Struthio camelus: one gene and its partners. The protein of the gene in region 1 purifies or fractionates together with the protein of each later gene. This does not show direct contact. Links are inferred from orthologs where the notes say so. Each region holds a gene or a part of one and is shown in the gene's direction. Other genes may lie near its edges. The genes, in order: PPP2CA, PPFIA1, TIPRL and INTS2.

What was found.
Region 2: the proteins of PPP2CA (region 1) and PPFIA1 purify together in Homo sapiens (affinity purification with mass spectrometry; 6 studies listed by BioGRID and IntAct, with this or other methods). This does not show direct contact. The link is inferred for Struthio camelus from reciprocal best matches to the Homo sapiens genes PPP2CA and PPFIA1.
Region 3: the proteins of PPP2CA (region 1) and TIPRL purify together in Homo sapiens (co-immunoprecipitation; 4 studies listed by BioGRID and IntAct, with this or other methods). This does not show direct contact. The link is inferred for Struthio camelus from reciprocal best matches to the Homo sapiens genes PPP2CA and TIPRL.
Region 4: the proteins of PPP2CA (region 1) and INTS2 purify together in Homo sapiens (affinity purification with mass spectrometry; 4 studies listed by BioGRID and IntAct, with this or other methods). This does not show direct contact. The link is inferred for Struthio camelus from reciprocal best matches to the Homo sapiens genes PPP2CA and INTS2.

The regions. Positions count from the first base shown.
Region 1 is NC_090954.1:3,901,050-3,908,748, reverse strand, and holds the start of PPP2CA (serine/threonine-protein phosphatase 2A catalytic subunit alpha isoform), read left to right. Parts: upstream 1-4,694; 5' UTR 4,695-5,106; coding exon 5,107-5,208; intron 5,209-7,699. UniProt on the Homo sapiens protein: Catalytic subunit of protein phosphatase 2A (PP2A), a serine/threonine phosphatase involved in the regulation of a wide variety of enzymes, signal transduction pathways, and cellular events.
Region 2 is NC_090946.1:32,987,615-32,995,040, forward strand, and holds the start of PPFIA1 (liprin-alpha-1), read left to right. Parts: upstream 1-4,416; 5' UTR 4,417-5,348; intron 5,349-6,498; coding exon 6,499-6,762; intron 6,763-7,426. UniProt on the Homo sapiens protein: May regulate the disassembly of focal adhesions. May localize receptor-like tyrosine phosphatases type 2A at specific sites on the plasma membrane, possibly regulating their interaction with the extracellular environment and their association with substrates.
Region 3 is NC_090942.1:97,612,406-97,619,644, reverse strand, and holds the start of TIPRL (TIP41-like protein), read left to right. Parts: upstream 1-4,216; 5' UTR 4,217-4,445; coding exon 4,446-4,546; intron 4,547-7,239. Other genes in the region: GPR161 (G-protein coupled receptor 161), read right to left, coding at 1-399. UniProt on the Homo sapiens protein: May be a allosteric regulator of serine/threonine-protein phosphatase 2A (PP2A). Isoform 1 inhibits catalytic activity of the PP2A(D) core complex in vitro. The PP2A(C):TIPRL complex does not show phosphatase activity.
Region 4 is NC_090957.1:18,831,628-18,838,699, forward strand, and holds the start of INTS2 (integrator complex subunit 2), read left to right. Parts: upstream 1-4,060; 5' UTR 4,061-4,156; coding exon 4,157-4,449; intron 4,450-4,573; coding exon 4,574-4,712; intron 4,713-5,427; coding exon 5,428-5,530; intron 5,531-5,786; coding exon 5,787-5,900; intron 5,901-6,594; coding exon 6,595-6,725; intron 6,726-6,834; coding exon 6,835-7,008; intron 7,009-7,072. Other genes in the region: MED13 (mediator of RNA polymerase II transcription subunit 13), read left to right, coding at 1-51. UniProt on the Homo sapiens protein: Component of the integrator complex, a multiprotein complex that terminates RNA polymerase II (Pol II) transcription in the promoter-proximal region of genes.

The DNA.
Region 1 (7,699 bases):
TGATATAGTATAGCTTTTTAATTCCGTATTTAGCATCGAAACGCCATAGCAACAGGCACTTCAGACATGCACTGATAGACAATTTAGAACTAGTAAGATATTTACAGACATAAATATAAGAAAACCAATTTAAGCATTCCTTACTCTACAGTGGTTAAACAATACGGCATTTACTTAGTCATATGATGCCTGAAATCAGGAATCTGTATAGTTTAAATGCTCACTGACGCCTCTTTTACTACATGGGAAACGTTAGCGCTACTGCCATAACTGATAAAATTACTACAATTGCTAATACACAGTCAGTGAGTTTCAGATTCATTTCAAAACACTGGAGTTTGTTAGCATTAAGGATTGCTTTGCAAAGAAGCTGCATAACCTACCAACTTGGTATCTGTAAATGTAAGTGTAATCAGCTTGATTAGTTACTCTTTTCCAAGAATGCCACAAATACGAAACACCTGTCACTGACTCAAGTGTTAAGATTGTGTACAGCGGTAAGGACAATACTTGACTCATGGCAACCACACCCAGACCTCCTTAGTTACGTATCACGCTCACAAAAGCCTGGCATATAGTCACATATTAAATACTAACTATTATTATTGTCATCTCACAACTTATGGTTTAATCTTATTATATCTCTGACATACTGACAAATCCCCAACTTATGCAACACAACAAGTATTCTTTTACCATTATTTCACCTCCTTTAAAGGTTCAGACAACTATCTGAGAAAGAAAAGGAACCACAATTCTCTAAACTATTGATTGTGGCTCTCGAGTAGGGGGAAGTTATGAGCTCTGACCTCTGATCCAAGTTTATAGATGTGAAACAATATGAGGATAAAATACAGAAGTAATTGTTTGGGATGGAGATGGGAACCAAAATTTCCCCCTCCTGTGTGAGTGTCCAAATAACCAAGCTACTGAATCCTGACTGTTCCTTTGCCGAGTCTTGAATTCTGTTCTGGTCAACAGCATGGTTTCAGCAGCAAGCAGGGAGTGATGATGATTCCCCCATCCCTTCTAAAGTAGCATTTATTCTAGTAGTTAAGAGCTATGGCTTTTGAATCTTTTCAAACCAAAAAAAGCTCATTTCTCAGTTAAGCACTCTAATACTAGGGTACTGTGAAACGAAGGTAGGTGTGGGAACCATCACGTTTCCTTTAAAAGGACAGCAGTGACCATTACCGCAATCTGTCAGGAGCCCTGCCTAATCTACGCATTAGCTGTGCTTTCCCCACACCTATCAGATAAAACCTTACAGGACTTTGGCTGTAGTTGCGCAAGCAAACCAGGTTAACAGTTTCCTGCTGCGGAAGTTTCATTTCTCCTCTCTCACCCATCTTTCCTAGTCCAGAAGCAGAGCCTGCTCCTGACAATGCAGCCCTACCTCCCCCGCCTCTTGTTTTTTGGGTGCTAAAATTGGCACTGATTATACCCTTTGAGGCTAGATCAACTATCCACCACATTGATCAATCACACTCAGACGGTCCAAGAGCTATAGTCGGCGCAAAAAGCTGCAGGGAAAGGATCTTTCCATTTTTGCACTTCTGAGGCTGTGGTTTGAGAAATCCACAGTAGCTGCAGAATCTCCTCCGCTAGAGATATGTAAGACTTAGTCGGCATATCCCTGGATAACCTAACCCAAGGCCCTGCTTCCAGCTAAAGGCTGGACTAATGACCTCCGGTGGTTTCTTCCAGATTAAACTTCTCTATGATTCCTGACCCCGTGCATCACTTCCTCATGCCACCTGAAACATTTATGTGGCTATATAATGAAGCAGGCAAGGATAAAGATGCAGCTTTCAACTAGATCAGGTTTTTGATCTTTTTTTTTGCTGGTAACAGACTGGGATGGTAATAAGACAGGATAGCATAGACATGAGACTGCCACCTTTAGTATCAGTGCCATCCTCTGTCAACTTAAAGTGACCGAGTAGGCTAGGGTGCCTACTTAAAAAGAGTTTAAACATCTCCTGGTTGGACAGCCGCTAAATACTTGTTTCTTCTCTGCAGCTCCTTTGAGCAGGAATGTTTTAGATCCTTCAACTCCGTATGCCTTGATTTCCCCACAGGAACTGGGTACAAAAGTATATTCCTATTCAGAAGCTGAGCGCTTACTGGCCTTATGTTATACATGTCAGCCATGCTGGCTAGCACACAGCTGGAGAGTATTCAACAAACATCAAAACTACATGAATTGATGGAGAACAAAACATTGGAAACACCTATCTTGAACAAAACAAATGAAACAGGAAAAAGAGAGTGTTTAAGCATTGGAGGCCTGCATGTACAGACAGTCATGCTCATGCAGCAATGGCATAACCATGCTAATCTGCATAACTGCAGAAGGAAATTAAGAAGCTTTCAATAGTAGAATATTCAGCTAGCTAAGCACTGCATAACAGCATCTTTAAGGTGTTCTGTACTATAACGTTTTGGGAACGTGTAAACGCAGATATAGCAAAAAGGAAGCATGCTAAAACAATCTGTGTTAGTGCAAATTATATCAATGGTATGTCCAAATGATTCTCGGAGATATAAAGCACTGATTTCTCAAGAAGAATCTCTGCTGCTTTTCACTTACTCTCATTTCACATTGCCTTTCTACTTCACCATGATCCTAGTCTTATCTGTCTGGTTTGAGGGCATCCTAGCAGATGTCCTCAAACTATGCAACATCATCACAAAATTTAATCTGTGAATTCATTAGCTTCATTTCTGCTACAATGGCTATAGGTAAGCAATTGTTTAATAATACATTAAAGAGTAATTGAGGTTAACAGATATTTTACTGCTTTTTCAGACCCTGCTACAGCTAGTTCACAAACACTTCAATCTCGCTACCCGTGCACCATACGTATTCTCCCATTTTCGTCTTGCCCTTGGCTTCTGAATTTGTTCAGAGGGAGTAATGCTTTCTCTTCTCTTTCACAGAAACCCTAGAATATTGTGGATGTGGTTGAAAGTAAATACTTGCATATTTCTATGTGTTATGTTTTTTTTTTTAAATAGTAAGTAGAAGAATTTTGTAGGCAGAAGCATAACTAATTGCAAGATTGTCACTAACAGGAATACAGAGAGATGTGTGCTACTGAAGTTCCCCCAAGAATTCCACTGATCTCAGCGGAAAATACAGAGCTAAATATACAAAATATAGTGTTAAGACATTTTACCATTCCAGAAGGCCAACAGTTATTAGAGAAAATGAATTTTAACTTGGCAAGTTACACAGAAAATAACGTTACTGATTTATTTTCTTTGCATTTATTTGTTCAAAATTATTTTTTGCATATTAACAAAAGATGCGCTACAAAGTAAATTCTTGCAACCTATCATTTTCCAATGAACAACGCTTTCATTCTATAGCTTTTCATTCTACAGTACAAAACTAAGGGCATTTGAAGAGGCAAACCTATGGAAAAATGCCTGAACATTTTGTAAAATGTTTTTGCCCACATTAGCAAACACAACACACGAGTTTGACTTGGACTTGTCTGAGAGCCCTGTCTGTGAGGTAATTCTGACAAGAAACGGAGGCTGTCACGTGGAAACATGCATTCTTTTCCTCTTACTAGTTGTTCGTTTGCTTCAATAGCAGGCTAGGAATTTAAGTTTAGACTCTGTATGAGGCAATCTCTGACTGAGACATTTAACACTTATCAGCTGGAAACAGGCTTTGTCAGCCTGACAATTTCAAAGGGGACATTTTGTCTGAACTTTGATCCATTCAATTAGGTGACGATCAGATTTGTGTAGTGACCTTTTCATGTCTTATGAGAGTTATTTTGGAAAAATCTTGCAGTAATTGGGACTGCAGTTATTAAAGACGCAGATTACAGCACAAAATATATTTTACCACTTATTATAGAACTTGTTACTTTCATTCCTTTTTAGTGTATGTTACTTGTATATGATTTATCTTACTGCTGTCTTTTCCTTAAGACAAAAAGTGTCCATGTACACTACAAAGATTAACCTTAAGGTCCAACACTAGTTTCCTGTATTCTGCTGAAAACTTATTTTCCACTTCACTCACGTCTCTCTAACAAGCGGTCCTAACCTCATTAATTTTCCCAAAGCTCTTTAGCATGAAGTGTTCTAAAGGAAAGAAACGCAACATAGCTTCGGCGATGCCTTTTCCATCAAAGCACTGCCCGGTGGCAAATCCGGCCTGCTATTTAACGTTTATTTTTAAACTGAAATATTTATCGCTAAGTACCTAACGCCAGCAAGCGCGCCCCGCTTGTCCGCTGCCGGAGCGCCGCAGCCCGAGTGCTGAGGGCTGCCCAGGGCAGCGCGGAGAAGCCCTGTGGAGAGAGAGGACTCGATTACAGCCGCGCAGCCCCTCTCCCCGGCGGACTTCCAGCAGCCTCGAGGCTGCGAGCCGCCGCCGGGGACGAACGGCCAACCGGCCTCCCTCCCCCCCTCGGGGGACCCGCACTGAGGCGGCGAGCCGGGCACCGGCAGGCACCGCCGCTCCCTCACGCTCCGCCACCAGCCCAGACGACTCCGAGCGGCCGCCACGCCTCACACAACGGGCAGGCGGGAAAGACCCCGCCCCGCCGGCCCGTCCCGCGCATGCGCCAGCAGCCCCTCTTCTCCCGCTCTCCCGCCCGCCCTCGCTCGCAGAGCGCAAGTGCCGGCACCTCCCCGCCCCCTTTGTTTCCTGCCGCGCGGAGCTGCGCAAGCGCAGATGCGCCTCGGCGCCGCCGCCGTCCCGCCGGTCTGTCGGCTCCTAGCCGGCCGGCGGCAGCGCGCATGCGCGGTCCCGCCCGGCTGCTGCGCATGGGCCGTGGCCTCCCCTGGCGTCTCCCTCCCCCTCCCCGGAGTGGAAGCCGAGGCGGTGACGTCAGGAGCGGCGGCCATTACACGGTCTGGTGCGAGGGAGCGAGCGGCAGAGCTGCTGCTGCGGAGAGCCCCGCTCCGGCCGCGGGACTCGCAGCGCTTCGGGCCGCTCCCGCACCCTCTGCGCGTCCTGCCGGGTCGTAGCCGCCGCCGCTGTTCGGAGCCGGTCGCGGGGGCCTCCGAGGCGGTGCGGCAGGAGGAGGAGGAGGAGGAGGAGGCGGCGGCGGCGGCGGCGAGCGGGCGTGCTGCGGGATGGAGGAGAAGGTCTTCACCAAGGAGCTCGACCAGTGGGTGGAGCAGCTCAACGAGTGCAAGCAGCTCTCCGAGGGGCAGGTGAAGAGCCTCTGCGAGAAGGTGAGAGGCGGCGGGGGGCGACGCCGGTCCCCGCCGGCGGCTGTGGGCAGGCGGTGGGGGGAGAGCGGGGGGGGGGGCGAGCCTCTGCGCCAAGGCGGGGCCGGGGCGGCCGGAGTAGGTGCTGCCGGGCGGGGGTGGCGCTACTCCGCCGAGTAGGCGGCGTGGGGGGGGGGGGGGGGTTGCGGGCGGGACGCGGCTCGCCCGGCGGGGAAGGGGGAGCGGGGCAGCGGGCCGGCGCCTGCGGGCAGCTCCGGAGCGCCCGGCCGGAGCGCGACCCTCGTGCGGAGGATAAGCGGGTCGGGGGCGCTGGGCGGGCGGATCTGCGCCCCCTCTCGCTCCGCTCGGAGACTGGCTCCGCCTCCCGCCTTTTCATCGCCTCCTAAAATGGCGCCGCCGCCGCCGGGATGCTGGGCGAGAGACCCCCCGAGGGCGGCCGCCATCCCGCCACCCGGGCGGGAAACGGGGACGGAGGCGGCTTCCCGCCCGCCGCTCCGTAACGCGGGGAGAATCGGCGCAGCCGGCCCCCGTGACACAGTTCAACCTCGCCAAGCGGGCCGGAGAAGCGTGGGTTATCCCGATGGGAATAAAGCTTAGGGTAGTCGGTTTGTAATTACAGGGGGTAAAAGCTGCCGCTTGGACGTAAGGCTTCGGGTTTTTTTTTGATATGAATAAGCACAGGCTCATCTATAACTGTAATGGAAGGGTAGTTCAGCTTCGGGACGTGGTTTCTCTGAAGAAAATTCTGGGCTCTGTGAAATGCACAGAACAGGCGGTTCCGATCACGTGTAGCTATTTATTTTTGTGGTGACTGATAAAAACATTGAGATTTGGGTGTTAGAAGACAGGGTTCATTGGTGTGCTTGTAACTTAGAGGGGTCCTAAAATCAGCCCAGGATAAATCCCCCTTTGACAAAGTGGGTAAATTAAGTACTTGCTTGTATAAGCGTTCATAAATTGATGAAACTGTGATGACAGATGCACTTGTAATTGCTTTTTCTATTTACTGAAAACTTATAAGCTAACATCAGGTGTCGGCAGCTGTTATTTATTTTGATCTTTATTTAAAAGAGTTGTTGTCGTGTGTTGTGCTTGATGAATTTGACTGTGGACCTGAAGGAGGGTTTCCCATGCATGAAAGCCTGTTTGTTTCTCCAGTAATACCCTCTGCTCTAAAAAAAGACGTTACCTATCTCTTCCAGCGTTGTTTTTTTGATTGCTGCCAGGCCATGTTCTTGGCCAGGTGTGAATAAGTAGGTCTTTTGGGTATGTGGAAACACTTAATACAGCTTTGAGTAAAAATAGGTTTCGTTCTAGGAATGGAAATTAAAGGAAAAATCTGTTCTAGTTTCATCAAACTGCATTTTCCAATAGAATTTTAATCCTGAATGTAATTAAAACTTAATAGCTGAAGACTCTTTTCAGTTACCGGAGGTTTTATGTGTTCATATATTTCTAGATAGAAGGAAGTAATATTTGTGGGCTCTTTGGGAGCTAGAAGTTAAGGAATATGGCAAGTCATTGATGTACTCTATTCTAAAGCCTGTGTACCAGCTGTGAGAAGTAATGAAAATATTTCAAATTTGGCATTGCATCTTCACATACTGTAGCATGCTGTTTTAGATGCAAATTATTTCCGGAAGGCAGTCTATAAACTTATTGAAGAACTTACTTTTTTTGAGCAGGCAGGTTCTTACTTGAGTCCAAATTTTAGTTGACTAATATTCCAACTACTTAAAATTGTTACCCTTAGATACAGTTTGTGTATTTTAAATTGTGTTGCAAATAAGTAGCAATATAGATGTCTAATTATTTTTCACTTTCCTCTTGAGGATCGTGGTCTGATTTCTTCCTCATGCTGGTTTTTCAAGAGGCAAGTATTCCGTTTACCACTAGTTATAAGCTGATGCTGATACAGGTTCCTGAACGCTGGTTTAGTGGGTATTTTTTGTAAGATTGTATAATAACTTGCAGAAGCATGAGGCATCTGCAAAAAGCTTCAAATTTACTGGGGGCTTTGGGTAGATGAGGAAAGGCATAGTATTTGAAATTCCCAACAAAAAATACTATTCATCATTGTTGAGCGAAGAGAACAGGCTGAGTTTTTATTTTTCCCGGTGAAGAATGGAAATCAAGTGTATTTCTAGATAAATACATAATGCTTGTCACCAAAATAAATTATTGACATCAGGTAGGAAAAAGGGCCTAACCTGAAGTATTTCTGATAGACTCGAGACATCGAGTCAGATGCTTAGACTGTAAGGAAGCCTTTAGTTAGGCTGGAAAAAAAAGAATGAATGTTAAAGTGACTAGATTTGTGGGAATTGCATACGTGGATAAAAGGAAAGGTTACAGAAAGTTATCTGTGCAACTGCTGTTGTCCTCTAAGATGAGAGATCACAAGGGTGTATGAGGTATATTTAAATGATATTTTGCAGGTAGAAGCAAGCTTGTTTTACCTCCAGGTGGGTGGATTTGAGCCATCTCCAAACCA
Region 2 (7,426 bases), on another chromosome or scaffold:
CTTCATTGACAGAACTGGTATGACAAATGTAGTCATGACAAAAGACGGGGATTTTGGCACGCACTGTCCACCTGCGTTGTGATCGGGAAGGACGGCCGGAGTTGCAACGTTTGTCAGGCAGAGCCAGGTCAAAGAGTCTAAGCCCATTTGAACTCTGACTCTCAAAGGATGAAGATAAAATAACGGCAGTTCCTTATCAGTAAAGGCATCTCATGGCTCCGCTGCCCTCACTGCCGCAGCTGACCCGTAAGAGGAACATATTCACAGGGTACAAAAATTCAGATCTCAGCTTAGGTACAGCATACGAGGTCCGCAGTGCAGCACAGTGTCATGTTATGGGTCAGAAGTGAGGGACGTGCTTTGTGTTGTGTGTCTTACTGGGTAATATGATGTGGGAGGGATGGGGGGAGAGGTTAAAAAGGAGAAGCTATGGGGAATAAGAGACTGTGCTACTCTGCAAAACTTAGGAGCAATGTGATAAGCATCATGGCTGTCATGGATAACTGTCTATAGCTGTAGTCTTAGTACCCAGCAGCGACCCTGGAATGCAGCAGGCTTCAGCACTGGGAACCAATTGCCTCGGCTGACTCTGAAATGTGGATATCTGCCACTCTGCTGGAACTGTTCATTTAGCTGGCAATTAGTAGCAACAAGATTCCCCAAAATACTGGAAAATCTTCTGAAATTCGCAGGTACTGCAATTTTTTGGTTTCTTTTCCACAAATAATTATGATCCCAATCCTACAAATTGTTCCCTTCTGAACAGCTAAATTTCTGAATTAATTGAAGCAATTGTAGCTTTGGCCTGGATGAAATCCTACTCTGCTTGTTATCAGGGGAACAGCTTTGCCTTTCTGGTAATAAAGAAGCCTACGAAATACCTATCAAAATCAGTTGATGGTAACTTAATTTAACATACTTTAAGTGTTATGCCTGCATGACAGTTATATTTAATAGTTCCATTATTCACCATGCAATAGTTCAGGCACAATTGTCCAACAGTACGGGTCCGTATCTAGTAACATTTGGAGAATGACAGGAAAATGAGATCTTTTTAGCAATAGTTTATCACTCCACTAGCGTGTTTGTAAAATGTGTTTTTCCTCCCCTCAGAATTAACATGAAATGTTCTTCTGTGGTTCAAAGAAAATTTTCATGCAAGTGTAAGCATGAAATCTAGAAACTGTTTGAACTCGAGAGTAGATCAGTGGACATAATTTCTGAAATGGCTGCTCTGCAACTACAGATGAAAAGACTAATGGCCTGTGGGGCATTATTTAAAAAGCTGGTCCCTTGGCTATTATTCATAAATGATTTCACAATGGAATCACTAATTTTCAATATTGAGGGCTTTCTACTAAAAATTAAGCAAGGCTATCACTTTGATACTAGACTTGCAGTACAAAATGAAGACAGTAGAGCAAAAAGTTTTAATCTTCCAGAAAATTACCATAGTTTTTGTTTATTTTTTAATAATGAGGAAAAGGAATTTATTTGATTTTTTTAACTTATTGCTATCCAGTTTTTTAGGTATCACTTTATCAGACTGATAAAAATTTGACTTACTTATTCCTTTGTATTTTCTTCTTGAATATTGCATTATAGAGGAAGGGAAAAATAGTCCAAACTCCTAGTCTGAGATTTAGGGAAATCACTCCCCGACTCTTCCACGTGTTTCTGACTGTGCTCAGAAAAATGTGTTAGTTTTTCACGTACGTAGAAAGAATTTAAATATTCTTACCAGTGCTTTGCTTAACTTTTCAAAGAGACGATCCAGTTAGCAGAGCATTTTTGTTTTCTTTAAAAAAGCAAACAAAATCAGGACTTACAGTATAAGCAATATACTTGTCCATGAATTGCATAGGAGTTATAGGAGATGATTTTACTAATGCAAAGACAAACAGAGCATTTGGGACAATGAAATAGAAGCAGGCTCTGTAGAAATGTGCTTAGAAATAAAAGAGCCGATTATTTTCAAGGTAATCTTCTGGGCCTAGTCTTAAGCACTAAGTAATTACCTTTATTTTACCTCAGAAATCTGTTGCTGTTCTTCATAACCACGGCCCAAATTCTGTCGCTAGTTCTACATATCAATTATGTGAAAGAAAGCCTCAGTGTGGGCAAAATAACAGGTTGAAGCCCGGAAGCCTCTTCCTTCCACCTGTCCTACGATCACTTTAAGGTTATGTTAAAATCAAAGCTAATAAGCATATAATATATCAGCATAAATATATCCAATCTTATAAGGAATAGCACTGCGCTGTATTGAGACTATTTGACAACACAGGTCATTCCATATCATTAGGGGGCTTTCCTCCGGAATGACACAATTGATTTTAACTTTTTTGCTACTGTTTCTGTATTGAAAAGTCAGATCTCGGTATTTTATACAATTACAGTTCAGATGTGTATTATTTGGCATTGAATCTCTGCTAGCCAGTATTTGGTAGAACTCATGATTTGAATGTGCCTCCTAATATTTGGCTTTTTCCTTAAAGTCCTGGCTTCCGGAGTCATGTGATTACATCAGACACTTCAAGAGAAAAAAAAAATCTAGATCTCATGGTTCTAGAGAAAAAACTTAAAAATCTGATCTGAATTCACCCTAGGGCTCAAATACCAAAGGCAAATACAGAGCACAATGTATTAAGTTCATAATTGTAAAGGTTTTCCTGCCTGGGGGAAGGAAGAGTGACTTATTAATAACTCTAGTCAGTTCTAGGTGCCTCTACGTTGTGTTTACAAATTAGGTGTCACATAACTCAGTCATAAAACTGCATGAGCTTCAGTTCAGGGACTGTTATTTTTTTGCATGACCTGCAACTGTGTAACCGGCCCCTGACGCTTATTGGAGCTTTGCATTTATAAAAGAAAGAACGGGGTCTAAAATGCAAATGCTTTATTCAGTGACGCTTTAAAGTAGTAACACAAACTTTTTACAAAGGGTACAGAGAGTACTTTTCTAAGCTTTGCGTACAGATTAAAACCCTACTGCGTTGTGTGAAAAAGCCTTACAAACATGATGAACCTGGAACAGAGTGAAAGCTATGTACGTGCAAGCGGAAAGTATTTATATGCTGTTTGGAAACAGTTTTAAACTGGGGGAGCGGGGCGGGGGAGGCTCTTTTGTCAGTGTAGCCAAACCCCATTTCCTGTGGGGAGTAAGCTGTACCAGTGAAACCCCCTTTCGCTGGTGTAACTGTGTCGGTGCTACAGGCTCGGCCAGCGCGGCTCACCTGCTTTTCTCCTAGTCCTGCCCCACAGGTTAAACCTTCCTAGCCGGGACCAGCCCCTGGGACCGCGCGCAAACGTCGTACCAACGGTGGTGGGAGAAAGCTCCTCGCGCCGTTTCATCTGCCGCTTTGCGCGGACAGGAGACCCATACAGGCCGTTCCTCCTCTAGCCCCTTTACTCATGCCAGAGCCCTTAGTCATACAGGATTATTGGTTAAAACCATCACCCCATAGCTGTGTGAGCGCTAGCTAATTTTTTTGAATGAAGGTGGAGAGCGCAGGCCGAGGGGCCCGGCTGTGGCTCGGGGGGGTAGGCCCAGGCCCAGGCCCGGGGCCTGGCTGCGGCCAAGGCTGAGGCCAAGGCGGAGGGAGTGGGCGATGCCCGCCGCGGGCTGCGTGGCCGCTGCCAGGAGCGGGCAGACCTGCCTGGCAGGGCCGTGCCGGGACACGCAGAGCCCGAGGAAGGAGGCTTCGCCAGCCGTCCCCGCGTGTAATTACGGGGCAACACTGGCACACACAGCGCCCTTGAGCGCCGGGCGCCCTTGCTGCTGAGGCCTCAGCGAGCGTGCCTCCCTGCGCGGAGGCGGGCGGCGCGGCGCGGCGCGGCGCGGCCCGGCCCGGCCCTCCTCGCGGGTTGACAGCCGCGGGCGGCGGGAGCATCGCTGGCAGGGCACCGGGGGGGAGCGGGGCTCGAACCCGCGGCCACGGACGACGGCAGGGGCGGGAAGGTAGGCGCGCCCGACCCCCGCGCGGGGCATTGTGGGCCCCGGAGTAATTTATGCAGGACCGCAGAGGGCGCCGGGAGAAGCGGGAGGCGGCGGCGGCGCGGGGGCTGGCGGCGGCGGCCGGGGCTGGCGCGGCCGGCGGCGGGTCGGGCTCGGGGTCCGGCTGGCGGCCGTGAAGGGGCGCTCGGAGCGCGCGGGGCCTGCGCCGCCCCCTGAGGCCGCAGCGGCACCGGCGGACGCAGGCCGCCGCCGCGGAGCAGCGGCACCAGCCGGTCTCGGCCAGCCCTTCGCCGGCCGCCGCGGCCGCGGAGGTGGCGGCGGGCGGAGCCGGGCCCGGCTCGCGGCGACGCGCGCGGCCCCGCCGCTCCCTAGCGAGGGCCCCGCTGGGCGCGGGGCCTCCGCGGCCGCGCTCGCCGCTGCGGCGGCCCGAGCCGGCCCTGCGCGGGCTGCCGCGGAGCGGGGCTGCGCCGCCGCGCAGGGAGGCCCGGCGCGGCGCGGCGCTCCCGCGGGAGCAGGGAGCCCTGTCTCGCCGTCTCGGTGCATCTTTGTTTGCCGGGGCCTCCGCAGGGCAGAGAGGCGTCGAGAGCCGGCCTTGAGCTGCCGGTTTTGCCCGTGGCTCCTGGGCCCTGCCGCCTCCTGCGCCGCCTGCCTCCGTTTCCCGGCTGGTTTCTTTCATCCCTCTCGGCTGGATATCGAAATTCCGCAGCATCGTCGGTGGGACTGGCCGGGGCCAGAGTGCGCCTGTAAAGCGGCTGGAGGAGTAATGCAGGCGAAGCTGCGAGTCTCCCTTCTGCTCGCCTTTCAAACCGGTATCAGCTCCTCGCTTTTGGGATTATAAATGTTTGAGCTAAGGCCCAGGAAACTGAAAGGAGAGCCTCCTGTTGGAATTAATAGAGGAGGAAAAAAAGGAGGCTTTTCCAAATCCTTTGCAAGAAAACTCAAGTCGTTGTTCCGTCCTGTCCTTTTTCTGTTCAATAAAGTGACTGTGACCTGAGTGGAATTTCAGAGCAATGAACTATTGAAGCTTGTTGCACCAGCGGCATAGAGTATTTTTTTTTCTCTGCACGTGATTCCAGCTGTTGCAGGAACTATGGGCCAGTAATAGAGAGATGGGAAGCTGAAAAGGTTTATTTTCACGTTCTCTGTTCTGGGGACTTGAGTAGTTAGCTGAAGTTGCTGCTGCTTTTTACTGGATCAGCTCTTTGCCCCGCAGGTTTATTCATTTTCGTGTGTATGGAGTATTTCAATTACATAGACGTTGGGCTAGAGCTGAATGGATAGTTTGCAATCTGAAAAGTTTTGGGGGATAACAGAAGACTAAAAACAGAAAAACTGGTACTGCAGGAAACTTGACGCCTGTTTTCCAAGCCTTTTTATTTCATTGAACAAGGTAAATAACGTAGTGGTGTCGAAAATACAGGCCTTTTGGTAATCATGCATAAAAATGTTGCAGCATTTCAGACTTTTTGAAGTTTTTCAAGAGATTCAGAGGTGTAGTCCCACGGTAATGCTCTGAATAAGTTTAATTGTTCTTTAAAATGTGCAGATATCAATGTGAACTTAAAGGCTGAGAACAAACGTTATGGTACCTGGGAGGATGTGAGAGAACTTTTTTCTTATCTGTTTTAGGGTCTCGTAGGTTTGTGTTGTTGAGAGAGGCTGTCTGGAGACCTTCAGAGGTCTTCAGGACCTTCAGAAGGTTCAGTGAGAATGTGCAGTAATCACATGTGTGATTTTTTTTCCTATGCTTTTTAAAAAGTTTCTGTCTCCTGTGGTGATCTGCTTGGGGTCTTTAAAGCATCCATCCAGTTTAACAGTAGTAATGTAATTAAATTTGTACTGTTAACTGTGTTCATACTGTGACTTCAATTATTTTCACTTACATTTACTGTTGTTATCAACAGTGACAGCTGGTACCACTTAATAACGACATCTTACTTTCTCTTATTATTTTATTACTGTTGAGGGCTTTTATCTTCTTTTACATGTTTCTCTCTTGAATTGGAGAATCTGGATTTACTGTTAATTTACATGCATCAAATTTACCATAGAGGTTCTGCTCCTAGCATAAGCTCAAAGTAGTTGTTTAGAATACCTTCTTTGTGTATGGTAGGAGTTGGAGAAGACAGATAATGATTCTCAAAATATGCAATATAATCAGTAACAAGTTTAAGTATATAATTTTTGTGTCTTGCTGCTTGCTTTATCTTTCTTTTTCAAAGACCTCAGCAACAGTTTCCTCTTAACAAAAATATAAATCTGTTAAAATGAGATCATAGTTTGAAATGTAGCTGTAGAAATCTGATTTTGCAAGAAGTCACAAGATTCTCATTATAAAGTGATTAAATTGGTTGTATACCTTTTCTCCTGCAGTCTTAATGAAACAGTGGCAAGCACAAAGGTGTTGGCAACCTTTGCTGATGCTATCATTGGGAAAGCTAAATTGGTGTTATGGGTAGTATCCCAAGTTCCTTTGCTTATCATGTTTAGATTTGTTTGACTGAGACTTATGGTTTTTATTTCTCTTGTTTTATTTCAAGATGATGTGTGAGGTGATGCCAACCATCAGTGAGGCAGAGATTCCCTCTGGGGGAAATGGAGGCCATGGTTCAGGTTCCCCGTTACAGTCAGATGCTGATTCCCATTTTGAGCAGTTAATGGTGTCCATGTTGGAAGAAAGGGATCGCCTTCTGGAAACGCTAAGAGAAACTCAGGAGACGCTAGCGTTGACCCAGGGCAAGCTACATGAAGTTGGTCATGAGAGAGATTCCTTGCAGAGACAGCTCAATACTGCACTTCCACAGGTATGGACATTTTCAAAGGAGGGTATCTGGTGATAATTTTTTTCTGTGTCATTTTGTTTTTGTTTTTTTCTTTATTCAATTTACTTAAAAGTCAGGTTATGTCAGGGGAAGATCAATCTAGCCTAGTATTTTCCTGAAGGTATTTGTTGTTGCTTACTTTGAGACATGCAAAAGTAGAGACCAACCAAAGACCAGCCCTTTCCCTCCTGTATGCTTTCCTGGTTTTTGGTGTTTCTTTGGCTTAGGGGCAGCTTGAACGTTAAGGTGTATCTACATCCTTTTGTGTAATAGAACTTGTTGGACTTTCTTCTACCACTCTCGTAATTTTTTTTTTAAATGCAGTTTCTATCTGCCTTATTCATTCATATGCTCAAGGATTACATATAAGCTGTTGGAGAGAAAGCAAACCATTCTGATACTGTTATGGACTTAGATTCAAAAACTGGGAAGTTTAAGACTGCTACCTTGTGAATACGTGCTGTGTTGCCGTGGCAGTACAGAAATCTGAGCGTTTTGGTTACCTCGCTTAGTGCCTTTTAGGAGTATGGATTTGTGTTTGATAGGAGTTACTAATGATTAGCTTCTGGAGGAGCTTTCTACCAGGAAGGCAGTAAACTAACATACAGCCTGTGCTACTAAAAGTATTATATAGGACAGTAGTGTG
Region 3 (7,239 bases), on another chromosome or scaffold:
GATCAGCATGTAGAGCAGTGCTGAAAAGTTGCACCAAACAACTCCAAAGATCCATTCCCGCCTGATGGAGCTGGTGACAACAAAAGGTAGTACCAGTACAGAGAGGAGAAAGTTGGAGAGGGTCAGGCTGAACACAAACTTGTTGCTCAAAGTGAGAAGGTAAGACTTCCGGTAGAGGGTGACGACAATCACCAGGTTGCCCAAACAGATGAAAATGGCAATGACAATTATAGCAATAGACTCGGTGACTCTGACAGCCCCGTTTTCCAGCGTGGTAAGGTTCCTCAGGCCCTTCACATTGATGAGGGAGGAGTTGCTGCTCATTGTCAGAGCGCGCAGAGCTGGAGCAGCCAAGACATGCTGAGGAGCTAGAAGCAGAACAACAACACTCAGAGACATTCAGGCAAGATTTCCTCACCTCCTCTCCAAAGATCAAGGGCTCTTTTACTCGCATTAATTAAACTTTACCTGTAGGAGACAGCAAATCGTTTTGGATGGGAAAACAAAGGGGCAGGAAATTGCCCATAGGCACGCCAAAGAGGTCAATGATAGAGTTAAATCTAGAAGAGGGGAGAAACTGTCTGAAAGACAGAAAGAGTTGGATGGAGAGGGACGGAGGAAGGAAGAAATAAAGAAGAAAATTAAAACATTTAATATTTTTGTAGGGATCTTACTTGCTTCTAAGCACTGATCAGCCATACTTACCAGCTGTACATCTCACTCAGTCCCTTCATCTAGGCTGTGAAGAAACAGGAAGAATGTAACAATTAGTCTTTGTTTCTCTCAATTTTAAAAAAGTCTTTTTTTTTCCTGTCTGCTTATCCCGACATTGCATTCTGCCTAGGTAGCAACTGCTATTCAGTGGTCTGTGGATGCCTGGCTAGTCATACCCTGCTGACTCTTAACGGTTGCTAGGTAACATTCAAAGAATCTGGGAGCACTGCAACATATTCTCCTAATGTCACTTCTCCATGTACATAATCACCTTAGCTACCACAGTGATCACTGCTCAACACCCATCCCCCTGCCTCATAACCTCAGTTTTGTGAGAGCTCAGTATTCCCCCCGGTTCTGCAGCAGCCTTCTGCCTGCTGTCTACCACAAGCATTCCTAATAGCTTAATTCAATCTTTCACCCATCTGCAGACCAGCACACTGAAAAAACACCAAAAATGCATGTGTGCAAACCGAACAACCAAAAAAAGCGTGCAACAAATAAAACGAAGTTCATCTTAACATTTCTTGGAAATCAGCGGCCCACTGAGGGTATCTCGGCTTTGCCCATCCATTGTTCCCAAATCACCAGGAGTACTGAAGAACCTCTTCCATCCGTGAGGTTGTTATGGCCTTAAGCAACACTGTCAGGCTGCAGAGATGTATTTTTTTCAATTTTTATCTGTGCCTTCCTAAGAGCCTAATTGAAGACACTACTGAGCCACGCTTCGTAAAATCTAGCTTAACTCTTCTCTAGTGAAACTGCCGACTGTGCGTAATAGCGTTTCTCTTAAAGTTTATCTTTAAAATATGGCTGCAGCTCACTTGTGAGTCTTTCCAACACCTTTTAAAGAGGCGCGGATTCTAGAAAGGAGGCTATCCGAGAGTGGCCACAGCCTCCAGCAACACCCAGGTCACGCGCTCCTACCCTTCCCCTCAGAGTTGCATCTAATCCTGCTTTACCCAAAGGCGGGGTGGGGGGATGCCCAGCAAACGTGCCCATCAGCCAGGAGGAAACAGTTAAGCAGAACGGCCAAAGGGCCTGGCTCTGTGAGCCCCAGCTCAGACAGGGGCAATTGCTTGGTGGGACAAGCAGGGGCTGGGGCGGGGGGGTGTCTCTTTGCCCAGGGCCAGCACTGCTACCAGTGCCAACCGCACACTGGCCACTGGGCTGGACGGCCGGCCACCGGCTGAACCCCTCTCCGGGAGAGAAAGCAGCAGGGAGCAGGCATGCTGACACACACGCACGACAGAAAGCCAGCGCTGCTTCCCTGATTAAAACCATGTGCGGGGTTGCGGCACCAGCTGGCGAGAAAATGGGGGGGGGGGGGCCGCGCCGAGCGGGGCACTACTTTGTTTAGCGCAGCCCGCCAGGGTTAGGCGAGCAGAGAGCGAGGCAACATCTCCGCGGAGCCCTACCGAGGCGAGGGCCGCCGCCGCGGGGCCCGCGGGATGCCGCAGGGCCGGCAGGCAGGGCAGGTGGCGGGAAGCAGCCCCGACTCCGGGCAGGGCTCCTCACGGCCCCCTCCGCCGCTGCCGGGAGGCTCCGGGAAAAAGCCTCCATTTTACCCCCTCCAACGACAACAACGGGCCGAGGTGGGGAGGGGGAGGGGAAGAGCACCCTCCACCGGGCCGGGCATCCCTCAGCCCGCCTCGTCTCGCCCGCCCCCTCGGCGGAGAGCGGGGTCCCCGCCCCGCTGCCACCGTAACGGCCGCTCCCCTCCCCTCCCCTCCCCTCCCCCCCTCGCCAAACCCCGTAACGGCCGCCGCAACGGCCGCTCCCCGCCCCGTAACGGCCGTTGGCCCGGGCGCGCGCGCCCGCTGCCCGGCAACGCACTCACCGCCCCGCCGTGCCGCGCCCGCCGCCGCCGCCGCCAGGGCGGGACGTTTCGGGTTACAGCGCCCCGGGCCCCCCGCAACCGCCGCCGGCGGGAGAGAGGCCCCGAGTCGCGGCCCGACCCTCCCCCCGCCATGCCCAAGCCCCTGCCTCCTCCCCGCCGCGGCGGCCCCCTCCCTTCGCCTTCCCCTCCCCTCCCGCTCCGCCTCCCTCCATTTTCTCTCTGCCCCCGTCCCTTCTGTCCGGGCTTCCCCGTCACCTTCGGGAGCGCTTCCTCCTCGGCGGACTCTCCCCTCGGCCCCATCCCGCTCTGCGGCTGGGGCCGCAGGCGGCAGCCAGCGGGGCCGCTCTTACCGCCGTAAGCCCCGGTGGGCAGCAGTCTGTGGGCGGGGAGCGCCCGCACCCCGGCCCGTTTGAACACCCACCGTCAGGAGTCGGTTAGACGAGCTGCCTCTCCAAAAACGGGTCGGGTCCGGCTGACCTCAGCTCGTCCCTCCGGCACCACTTGCTCTGAATCAACTGTATCTGCGTTTGGGGAGAGAGCGGCCTTCTAGCAGGGCCGTTTATCTGCTGTGCTGCCTTGGGAAAGCAACACAAATGCCCTGCGAAAGGGGGACAGTTACCAGCTACCGCGCAGGTTGGTCCTAAGGCACTCGAATCAAGTCTGTGCTATGTCAGACCTCTTTACAGCCTTCATCCATTTTATTTAAACCCTCGGAGGTTCAGTCGGAAGGAATCAATTTTTACACAGATCAGCAGATGAAATGACTTGCCCAAGCACACAGAACAAGTAAGTGGCACAAAGGGGGACACGTTCCTAGACTTCCCAGACCATAAGAGACTTTTAAAAGAAATACAGGTGTCTTACCAGGGTAAATTTGGGGGGGGGTGCCTTTTTTCAGGAAGCAAGGCACAGACAGTGCAGCGTAAAGGACCAAGGGTAATTAAATACCATTTTTGTGCATTCCTAAGTCTGAGCTTCTCCAAATCCTGGCAAGGCCGTTAGTGCTCCACTGTGACTGCTCTGACTAAGTCACAGCTTTGCTGTGTAATTTAGAACTTTTTGTGGCTCTGTTAATTTAGAACAGATAATAGTTCTTAGATAGATATAGTTCTTTGCATTACATGTGGCATGTTGCCATGGCTGTTCTCTTGGCTTGCCATGACTCTACGGTCTTCCAAAAGACCAAGTAGGACTATCATTCATGCTCACATGCTACAGCAATTTCCTGGGGAGTTAGTCTGTCCTTTTGATGACACACAAACACAACATGAGCATCCAGCCATCCACGCTGAAACGATAGAAGATTTTAATCCGCTCTGTCACTCCTTTCCTACAGGATTTTAGGTTCACAATACTATCATATTTTGTTTGACGTTCTTTAAAGATCATCTTTGGACTGCAATCAGGAGCAGCTCAACCCAGCGCAGGAGACTGCAGGCGTACGTACGTATGTAACACACACAAAACGCAAGGTGTGCGTCTGCAGCAGCAAAAGACAACTAGTGACGTTTCAGTCGGCGGCTGAAGCTGGGCTTCGCGGGACGCTTACCTGAGCTCGCTGCCCGCCCGCGCCTAACCATCTGCCCGGCTGCACTCCGCAGCCACCCGCCGCCCCCCGGCGGCGATGCAGGTCCCCGCGAGCACGGGGCGAAGCTCCCGCCCCCGTCATGGCGCCCAGCCCACTGTCACGTGACACCCCACCCCTCCCCGCCTGCAGCGCCTTCCGGGGCTGCGCGCGCAGCAGCCCGGAACCGGAAGTTGACGGAGGTGTTAGCGGCGTCGTTACCGTTAGTGGCGTCCGGCTGGAGTGGAGCCGTCGCCTCCTCCGTCCCCGGCTGCCTTCTCCTCGGCGGGGCCACATCTCCCCCACCCACCCCCCCCCGCTGCCGCCATGCACCCCGTTTTCCAGAGCAGCCGCCGTGACTTCACTTTCGGGCCCTGGAAGCTGAGCGCTGCCCAGACGCACATCATGAAGTCAGCGCAGGCCGAGAGGTGAGGCGGGCCGGGGCGGCGGGGAGCCCGCCGGGACCTCGCTCCCCGCAGGCGAGGCGCTTGCGGAGCTGTGGCCTAGGAGATAAATAATGCTCCTTTGACGGGGGAAGGCGGGCCTTTGCTCCCACCAGCAACTCCTTCTTTTTTTTTTTTTTTCCTTCGTTTTCTCTCCTTCTGCCAGTGTAAGCTTGCTGTTTTGGCTGGAGAAGTGGGAATGGTTTGGTTTTCAAATCTGACGGTTTTCAGGTTTTCTGTTTTGTTTTGTTGTGATTGCTAGCGCCGTTCTGTTGGAAATCTGGGTTTTTGTGAGCTGAAGCCTGCTGCCTATAAGCTTATTTTCCTTAGTTGCTTTTTAAGAATAATTAAGGACCCTTTAAATGCAGCCCATAGATTTTCATAAGCTATTTTATGCTAATGGCTTTTTAAAGATAGTGAATTTCATTAAAAATTAACTGTTCGCCCTCTTAGTGTGGTAGTTATTTCAGTTGTGGTAAAGCAGTTGGAAAAATGCTCCTGTCAGCATCAAGTACTTGAAGTCAGATTTGCTAATGTAGATCTGAACAGCTCAGCTATTTAGAGTCATAGCTGAGCTTACGGGCAGCTGAATTCGTCAGATCCTTCTTTGTTTCTGTTTTTGTGATAAATATATGGAGATTCTTTTAATCTTGTTAAATGTGTTTTGGTTCATGCTCATGTTTTCTGAGGTTAGGACTGTTTGCTAAAGTCTAATCTCCTGAAGCTTTACACTTTTTTACATAAAACAGCAATGTATTCACGTTTTTGTTTTAAGTGGATATGTGCCTCGAAACAGATAAAAATGACATTCCTTTCTTCATCTTTATCCTATACTTAGTGGATAAAATAATCTTCACTGAATGCTTTTAACTAATGATATTGTAGTTCTTGTAGTTAAATGAGAGGAAGCTTGAATCTTATGTTTTAGTCATTCTCCCGTAAAGAGGACTCGACATCCAGTTAAGCTATAGCTAGGCTCTATTTTTACAGTAGCTCCTATTTTTCAGATATGTTTGTGAAGACTTCTCTTGCAAGATGCTAGGTCTTAAAAATTAAGATCTATGCTCTTACATTGAGGAGGATGTTAACTGGTCATTGTCTCTAAACTAGAGTTAGAACTGAGCTGCCAATCTAGAAGCCAGATTATCTACTGTACTCCTCTTCTGAACTGTTCAGTTTCTTTTACTGTAGCTGTTTTAAAATAAACAGTTATGTCAGTAACTTTTTTTTTTCCTGCAGCAGTTCTCTTCGTTCTTTTCAATGTTTTTCTGGGACACTTTGATTTTTCAGAATGTATTCATAAAGGCAAAAAAGTAAAGATGGAAAAGTCACAAGACAGAAATAACAGAAAAGACTTTGCAGGCTAGGGAATATAAATCCAACATTAGCTGTTTGCATGCGGACCTTGGAACTTGGCCTGAGAGCTCAGAAAACAAACAGTTCCTCTGCCTCAAATCTGAAGAGACACTGCCACTACCCGGTTGCAGTGTTTCTAATCGGTTTCCTTTTGTAATGTAATTTCTTTTAGTGTTTTTCCTTGCTTTTTATTACTTAGAGAACATAGTTATTATCTATAGGAGTTTCATTTCTAGTAAACGTGTGTCACAAAAAAGGCTGAGCAACATCTATAGAAAGGTGAAGGATTAAATACGCCATAGCTGCAGAACCCCTTCGTGTCCTAGACTTGGTTTTTGCAGATCAAAGGGGCTGCACTGGATGAAATGGAAAGTTAGTAATTTTATGCTGCCTTCTCTGGGAAAACGAGACCTGCCTTCTGCAGGTCTACGAATCTGCTATTTTTACTTCAGATTGGTCAGCGTGATGTTCTTTTGTATGCAGTGGTACAGAAATAACACTTTTATGCAGAATGCTTTATTATTTATCATTAGGAAAGTTGTGAGATGGAATTTTTTTAATCCTCGTATTTAGATGCGTTTCCTAAAGTTTTCTTTTCTTCAGATTTCATGTTCTTTTTAACCTTGCAGTGAGTAAAGTAGGTAGAGGAGGGGAGGAAATGCTAGAAGTGCATGAAGCCTTCTGGTGAATGCGGTCAGTGTAGATATCAAGTGGCAGGTATGTATACATAAGAGTAAAAACTGATTTAAAAAAAAAAAAGTGAAACGGGTTGGTTTGGGATTTTCTGCAAGGATCACGTGTACTCTGTATAGTACTCTGTTTAGCTGGGTCTGTGGCTATGTGGCTGTGGCTTTCACGTTTAGAGGTTGCCAGTGCCAGTACATATTCTCTATGAGCTCGGGAAGGTAGTGATTCGAGCACGGTAATATCTTCTGCACTTCATCTCTAATGTATTCTGCTAGGGTTGTTTTCAGCCTCTTTTTGTAGGCTTCTAAAGATGGAGGCATGGACCACTGTGTAGCGAATTTCAACTTGCTTTTTCCTTAAACTTCTTTTCGGGCACCAGCCAAAGTAAGTAATGGACTGTCCAGGGTTTTCTCCCCTGGTTGAAAGCTGTTAAATTATACTACTTGGATATTTTTGATTTCCCCACGTGTGGGGCTTTTGTACAGGACTGACAAAGAGGGAAAGATTTAGGAATACTTTTATATTGGAAAAGGCATTTCTGATCAGTGGTTCTGCAATGCACGTCACGTTTTTAAATGGGGAAAATAACAAAGTTTTGTACAACGTATTGATGATACTGCTTTCAAATTATTGTG
Region 4 (7,072 bases), on another chromosome or scaffold:
CATTTTGTGGTGCTGAATCAGTTGTATAACTTTATCATGAATATGCTGTGATCTTCATCTGAATTTTGAAAGACAAGAATGAGGAAAAGGGATATTTCACTGCAGGACTAAGTTATAAATTCTTCTCAGTGCAAGTTGTTTGTGATGGGGTATGAATCTTGTTACTTCCAGCAAATATTGCTTTGGCTTGTGAGAAGGGCATCTATAACCCTACTGTCTTTGATGCAATGACTCTGGGGGACTCTTTAGAATGATGATCAGAATGTGTATTATAACATTTTTAGTAGCAAAATTAACCATTTTTCCCCAGTCACAGTATTTGTGAAGAGTAATGAGCCATAGTACCCAGTCATGGTTAATGAATTTTAAAGCATGGAGATGAGAAGAAACAGGAGGAACAATAAGTTTCAACCTATGGCTTCAGAACATCAAGATGTTCTTGTATTGGATTATAGTACCTAGTATTCAAAAAATGCCTGCATCTCTTATTTATTGTAAGTTTTTAAATGTATAAATTGTCTTATATTTCTTAACCTCTTTTATAAAAATTTTCCTAGAAGGTTTATACTGCCTTCTTGCTTTAAAGCAATTGGTCTAAAATATATGTAATCGTCTTAATTAAAAGTTGCAGTAGGTTGCTTTTAGAGTATTATTTTTTTGTAAGGGGGTGGGTGGGGACAGTAAATTTGTATTGTCTTGATGTACAGTTTAATGGGGATAGAGGGGTTAATGTCCATACCATTGTGTGTGGGGGATTTACAGCTAAGCTGTAGTTGCAGAGTACATGTACAGTAATGAAGTTCACTGTGTTTATATAAAATTGAAAAGGTACCGGGTCTTACAGCATTTTATATCACACCTTTACAGAGTAACAATGGCAATATATAAGTGATATTGTAGGTGGTTTAACTTGTAGTGAGAATAAAATGAATAAACTCTTCAACTGAAGTTTGTGTTATGGTTCAGGGCTGTGGCTAGATTCTCAGATCTGTTTCCAGTAGACAAGTTTTACTATTGCAAGGATATCTATTGTGCATTGTTGTTACCTGGATATTCTTGGCACCGTGGTGACTGCACTATTTTCTTTCACGTTTGTGGCAAAACACAAATCTGAGTCGGAACACACAGACACAGAAAACTCTGACCTTATCCAAAGTCTCCTGCAAGGCTGAAATTTAGCCCAGCTCTAGCCATTTTACAAATGAAAAAAATAGTCAATCTTGACTTTAAGATTGGTGTGTGTTTAACTAAAATGTGGTGTATATAGATTCTCAGTGAATTCTGGTATTCAGACTTTATTCCACTAGTAAAAAGCAAAACACAACCCTGAATGTTTTCCTTTTTCATGTATTTTGGCACGGAGGTGAAGGTCTCGAGTATCAGTGCATGGCCTTCCCCTTATCCCCTTTTCAGACTCCGGCTGGGGCATGTGCCAAGGAGGCTTAGCCCTCCCTAAGGAAGGGTCTCGTGAGTTATAAGGCTTTTGTAAACCTCTCCCTCTATCTACAGTCGCCCTTTTTCCTCAGTAGTTTCCTTCCATTCTCTCAGCACATGCCAAATGTCTGATGCTGCTCTAAAATGGCCCCTACGGGTGCTGAGGAGCAACAGCATTTTTTTTTTTTTTCCTTTGGTTCCTCATCTTCTGACTGCCAGGGTAAAGACTTACTCCTGCAGTGCCCACGTGAGCCTGTTGAGAGAACCCATGCTAGTTTATCACCTGGGTCTCAGTACTGTTCATCTTGCCTGCTTAAATCTTGAAAGGAGCAAGTTTTAAGATACATTGGGGCACCCACTGTTAATCCTCTACAACGAAGAAATCACTTGTATTTACAAAACTTATTATGTTGGTGAAAATTATGTTTTGTAAATGCAAAATATTTGCCTGAGATCATTTTTCCTTGAATTGTGTATATGCAAAATTAGCGACTTTTTTTGTTTTTGTATAAAGAAGTTGTACAATTGGTGACAAAAATTTTCAGTAGTTTCTTCAGAAAAAACATGAGTGCAATCAGAAGTCAGCATATTTTGATATTAAAGGTAAAAACCTGGGTCTGTCCATTACTTTTTCTTGATATAATGATAATGTACTGCAGATTAAACAGCACACTTCTGTTTTAGAGCAGGTGTTTTCTTTCTCATTTGGCTGAGATTAAGGGGAAAAGTGCATCTAAAACTGGAGTTTTCAGAGCACGTGTCTTTTTTGTTTCGTTTTGTTAAATCTGACTTGTATCCATAAAGGTAAGTGAATCGGCTGCCTGAGCATTGGTATAACTGTACTCTGTTATCTGGACCACAACCTTCCCTGTGAAACTCCAACTGTGAAGTCTGCCTCTCCCCTCCCCCCTCCCCATGTCCCCAAATGCAGTTTAAGTAAACTGTCATATTGTAACCACTAGAAAAGATCAGGAGGGCCATTTTTGGAAGTGATGGTCACAGCCAGCAATGTGCATATCAAAACTGCCATCCCCATGGAGCCAGCTACTACATTGGGCGTGCTTTTTTGTTGGTTTCATTCACTTAGCCATTTTCCTCTTTTAAGGGCACATAATTAGTGATTTATGAATAAAATTGTCACAATCCAATAATTAGGGTTGTTTAGCAAGTACAAGCTTAATGTATTTGAACATTTCAGCCCTAGCTTCTCAAAATGGTTTTGCAAGAAAACATTGTTCCTGGCAGTGCTCTATTAAGAGGAAATAAACTTATACAGCTACTTACGTATGTTAGATAGCCAGTGAAAGATGCATCTGAGATCCTTCAGTTCAGATTTAAAAAAAAAAAAAAAAAAGTATTTTAATTTAGTTATACTGTGCTTAAGCCATGCAGTCATCTGGACTGTGACTTATACTGTTATTTGAATTAGGTTTCTGTAAGCATTGTTGCTAGACTGGCAGGCCACCAACTGTACTTGCAAACAACCCTCAAATTTTAAAGTAGCTGTAACATGTTAATCTTCCTAACGTTTCCGGAAATAAGTAAAAATAAATGAATTTATATTTAAATCCTCAGCTATGTTCTTACTTAGCTGTCAGTATGGCGCAGGTTACTGTATTTCTGTATTTACCTCCTATGGTAATTTTTAACTTCATGTGTTGCTATGAAGACTTGCAGATGTCTTTATTCAAGCACTATTTGTTAATACTGTAATATCAAAATATGTTACACTATTTTAAAGCTTTCAAAAATAAGAGTAAAATGTTTTTAAAATGCTATTGCATCATATAATTTGCTGCGTAACGGTATGGCACAGCATATCAGTCTGTTTTAATAGTAATGCTGCATAAACAATGTTTGGACTGGGTTTCTTTTGAGAATTTGTTTTCTGAATTAGGTGATAGCGTATGACACTACTGTCTTGACAACCTGCACTGGGGAAGGTTTTTTTTGTCCTTAATTAAAAGGATCCAGGACTATTCCGGGGTGGTGGTGTGGGGGGAGGAAGAGTGGTGGGGGCGCTGTGGGCGCTGTACATCCTGTTTTTTTAGCGGAGTAAAACTTAAATTTACAGCAAAACTGGATTTGGGACCTACCATAATCCTCAGGGTCACTTTTCAGGAAGTTACTCGTCTAGCTCTCGCTGTTCCCGAGTAAACTGGATGTCAGGAGCTGGCGGAGCCGGCTGCAGCCTGTCGCCTCGGTCCTGGACGCGCCCCCCCGCAGCCGGGTCGCGTTACCGGGGCCCTTCTTAAGTTCGCACACGGCGCTGACGGTTACTGGTCCGAGCCGTCGCCTTTATCGTGACAAAACGTGACTGAGGAACAAACGCTATTGCTGCCGAATGCCATAAACGCTGAGTTGTACAAATTGTGATTGAGGAAATGGAGAGAGAGAGAGAGAGAGAGAAAAGGTTTATACTTTTTAAAAAAAAATTTCAAATGGAATAAATTATTCATGAAGCCTTGCTTGCGCTGTCTCTTTATTTACGGCGGGGGCCGAGCAGACGTCCGGGGGAGGGGGGGGGCGCCGTCCCCTCCCCCCTCCCTTCAGAGCGGCCTTCCCGCCGGCGGCGCGCGCGCGCGCACCCGGCCGCCCAACGGCCGCCCGCCGCGGGGCCGACCTCACTTCCGGCGGTGACGCGGGCGGCGCGCGCCGGAAGGCGGCGGTGGCCGGCGGCCGTGGAGCGTGGCCGGTCGCCGCCGCGGGGCCGGGCGCCGCCATGGCGGAGTGCTCCGGCCTGCAGTTCGTGAGCCCCTACGCCTTCGAGGCCATGCAGAAGGTGGACGTGGTGCGGCTGGCGGCGCTGAGCGACCCCGAGCTGCGGCTGCTGCTGCCCTGCCTGGTGCGCATGGCGCTGTGCGCCCCCGCCGACCAGAGCCAGCGCTGGGCGCAGGACAAGAAGCTCATCCTGCGGCTCCTCTCGGGCGTGGAGGCCGTCAACTCCATCGTGGCCTTGCTCTCGGTGGACTTCCACGCCCTGGAGCAGGACGCCAGCAAGGAGCAGCAGCTGCGGTAACGGCGCGGCGGGCGCTGCCCCGGGAATTGCGGTCTGCCTTTAGCTGAGGAGGTGTCTGTGCTCGTCGGGCTCGTTTGTTTGTTCTTTAACGGTTGTCGTTGCGTTTCCGTTGTCTGTTAGACACAAGCTGGGAGGAGGCAGTGGAGAGAGCGTCTTGGTGTCGCAGCTCCAGCACGGTCTGACGCTGGAGTTTGAGCACAGTGATTCGCCTCGTCGGCTTCGTCTTGTGCTTAGTGAATTACTAGCAATTATGAATAAGGTAAAATTTCGCTTCCCCGTCGCTCGGCGTTTGTGAATTTTATATCCCTGAAAGCGAAGAACCAGAAAGCTGCAGGCGGGATGTGCTGAAATAACGCCAGGTTGCGTTGCTGGTGCTGCCGGTGCGTGTCAGGGCCGTTCTCCGGTCCGTAGCTGCTTCGCCGAGACTTAAACTCTGTCACGTAAACTCCTCGTGAACCCAGCTTCCCAGAGAAAGTCTTTCTTCCTCCCGGCAAGGAGGGCAATCTTTTCTTAACAGGCTCTGTACGTTCTATAACATGCTGCACTTAAATACAATGCGATGGCTTATAAGAGCAGAAATCATGTTTCAGGATGATGTTGTAGCTTTTCCTTCTGTCCTTTTTTTTTTTTTTTTTACTGCTATTGCAGTAATATGCACCACCACGTTTCTCACTTTTCTCTGTGTTTTATGTTCTTCTGTTAAACTTACCCTGTTTATAGACTTCTTAGTAAGCTGTTTTTCTGTTTTCCGGAAAGAAGCAACGATACCAGCGGTGTTTAATTATCTTTACTAGTAAATATTGCTTGTTCTAAGCATTTTTGCTTGCCTGTTCTGTTTATAGCTGTACATTTTTGACAGTTTTTAATACGTTCAATCTGTTGAATTCAAAGCTCTGAAAGTCTGACAGGTGCTGATTGAGTTATACAAATCACTTCATGAAACCTGTTCTGTGATGATGAACGTTGTCTTATAGGTGTCAGAATCAAACGGTGAGTTTTTTCTCAAATCGTCCGAGCTCTTCGAGAGTCCTGTCTATCTGGAGGAAGCAGCAGATGTTCTCTGCATTCTGCAAGCAGGTGTAGTGCTCTGTATTTATAGTGCTTTCCTTAATGCTGTTTTGCTTGTGACTTCGCTACTTACAAACGTAAAAAAAAAATTACCCTAACTTTTGGAGCTCTCCTAGCTGAATTAAGATTAATGTTGGATGTCTAGCTCTTTGGAAGAGGAATAGACCAAAGAGTAATCTTTCATTCGTTAACTTGAGCACGTTACATAAATTTATATTAAAAGCTACTGTTTTACAGTGACTTATGAGATCCTCTTTTTATCCAGAGCTGCCATCGCTGTTGCCCATAGTTGATGTAGCTGAAGCTCTGTTGCACGTTAAAAATGGAGCCTGGTTCCTGTGCCTCCTAGTGGCCAATGTTCCCGATAGTTTTAACGAGGGTGAGTTACAGTTTCTTCTTGCCAAGCTTTCTTTTTGTAAAGCTTTGAAATAATTTCCAGCAATCAAATTGATTCTAGGCTAAGCAGCATAAATATTTGAACTGAGGAGCGCTTGGCTTGTGAAATGCACTTTGGATGCATTTATACTTAGAGATGCTGAAAGGCCTCTCGTTCTCATCGCATTCACTACCTATTTCTGCAGCGTACTTCAGACTCATTGTGTGCCTGTTGCAGTTTTTCATCTGTAGGTCACCTTTATAAAGGCTGATTCAGACAGTGAATGATTGGGTCTAGGAACCTGGTCTGTCCTTGCTAATTGTCCTTGTCTCTCAGAGCGAGGCATGTTATGAGGTGAAAAATTCATACTGCCGTTGCCCATTTATTATCACTTATGTAGCAAGAAGACTTCAGTCTGCAGGGCTGCCAGGTGCACAGGTTGCGTTAGACAGAGTATGAGCAGTAATTGAATGATGCCTAAATCTGTAATGACCCTATAATTTCTCTGAGGAGAAACACCGTTTCCTTATTCTACTGATACAGCGTTGATCAACAGTTCTTCCCTGGCACAAGGTTCGTGTGGCTCAGTTAATAAATCACAGTCCGCTGAATGAAAGGGCTCGTCTTGTGTTTATATGTTTACGTGGCTTTCTGCTGGAAAGGCCAGATTTACTTAGACCTCCTCTCGAATGTTTAGTCTGTAGAGGTTTGATTAAGAACGGCGAGCGGCAGGATGAGGAAAGTGTTGGAGGCCGTCGTAGAACAGAAGCACTTCGTCACCTGTGTAAAATGAACCCTTCCCAAGCTTTAAGGGTCAGAGGCATGGTGGTAAGTCTGTAATTGTTCTATCACGAGACAACACGCAAATCATAATTGTGATCCTTATTGGAGCATTAAAAAACAAAAAAAAAAGATTGAGCTCGGCTATTTTGTCTAGGTGGAAGAGTGTCATCTACCAGGTCTTGGTGTTGCTTTGACCCTGGATCACACCAAAAATGAATCTTCAGATGATGGAGTGAGCGATCTGGTGTGTTTTGTGAGTGGTTTGCTACTTGGAACAAATGCTAAGGTTCGGACTTGGTTTGGAACTTTTATCCGAAATGGCCAACAGGTAGGTACGCTTTTGAATATTCGCTTTCAAAAACTATTTTTGTAAGCTGCTGTAACTTGTCTGG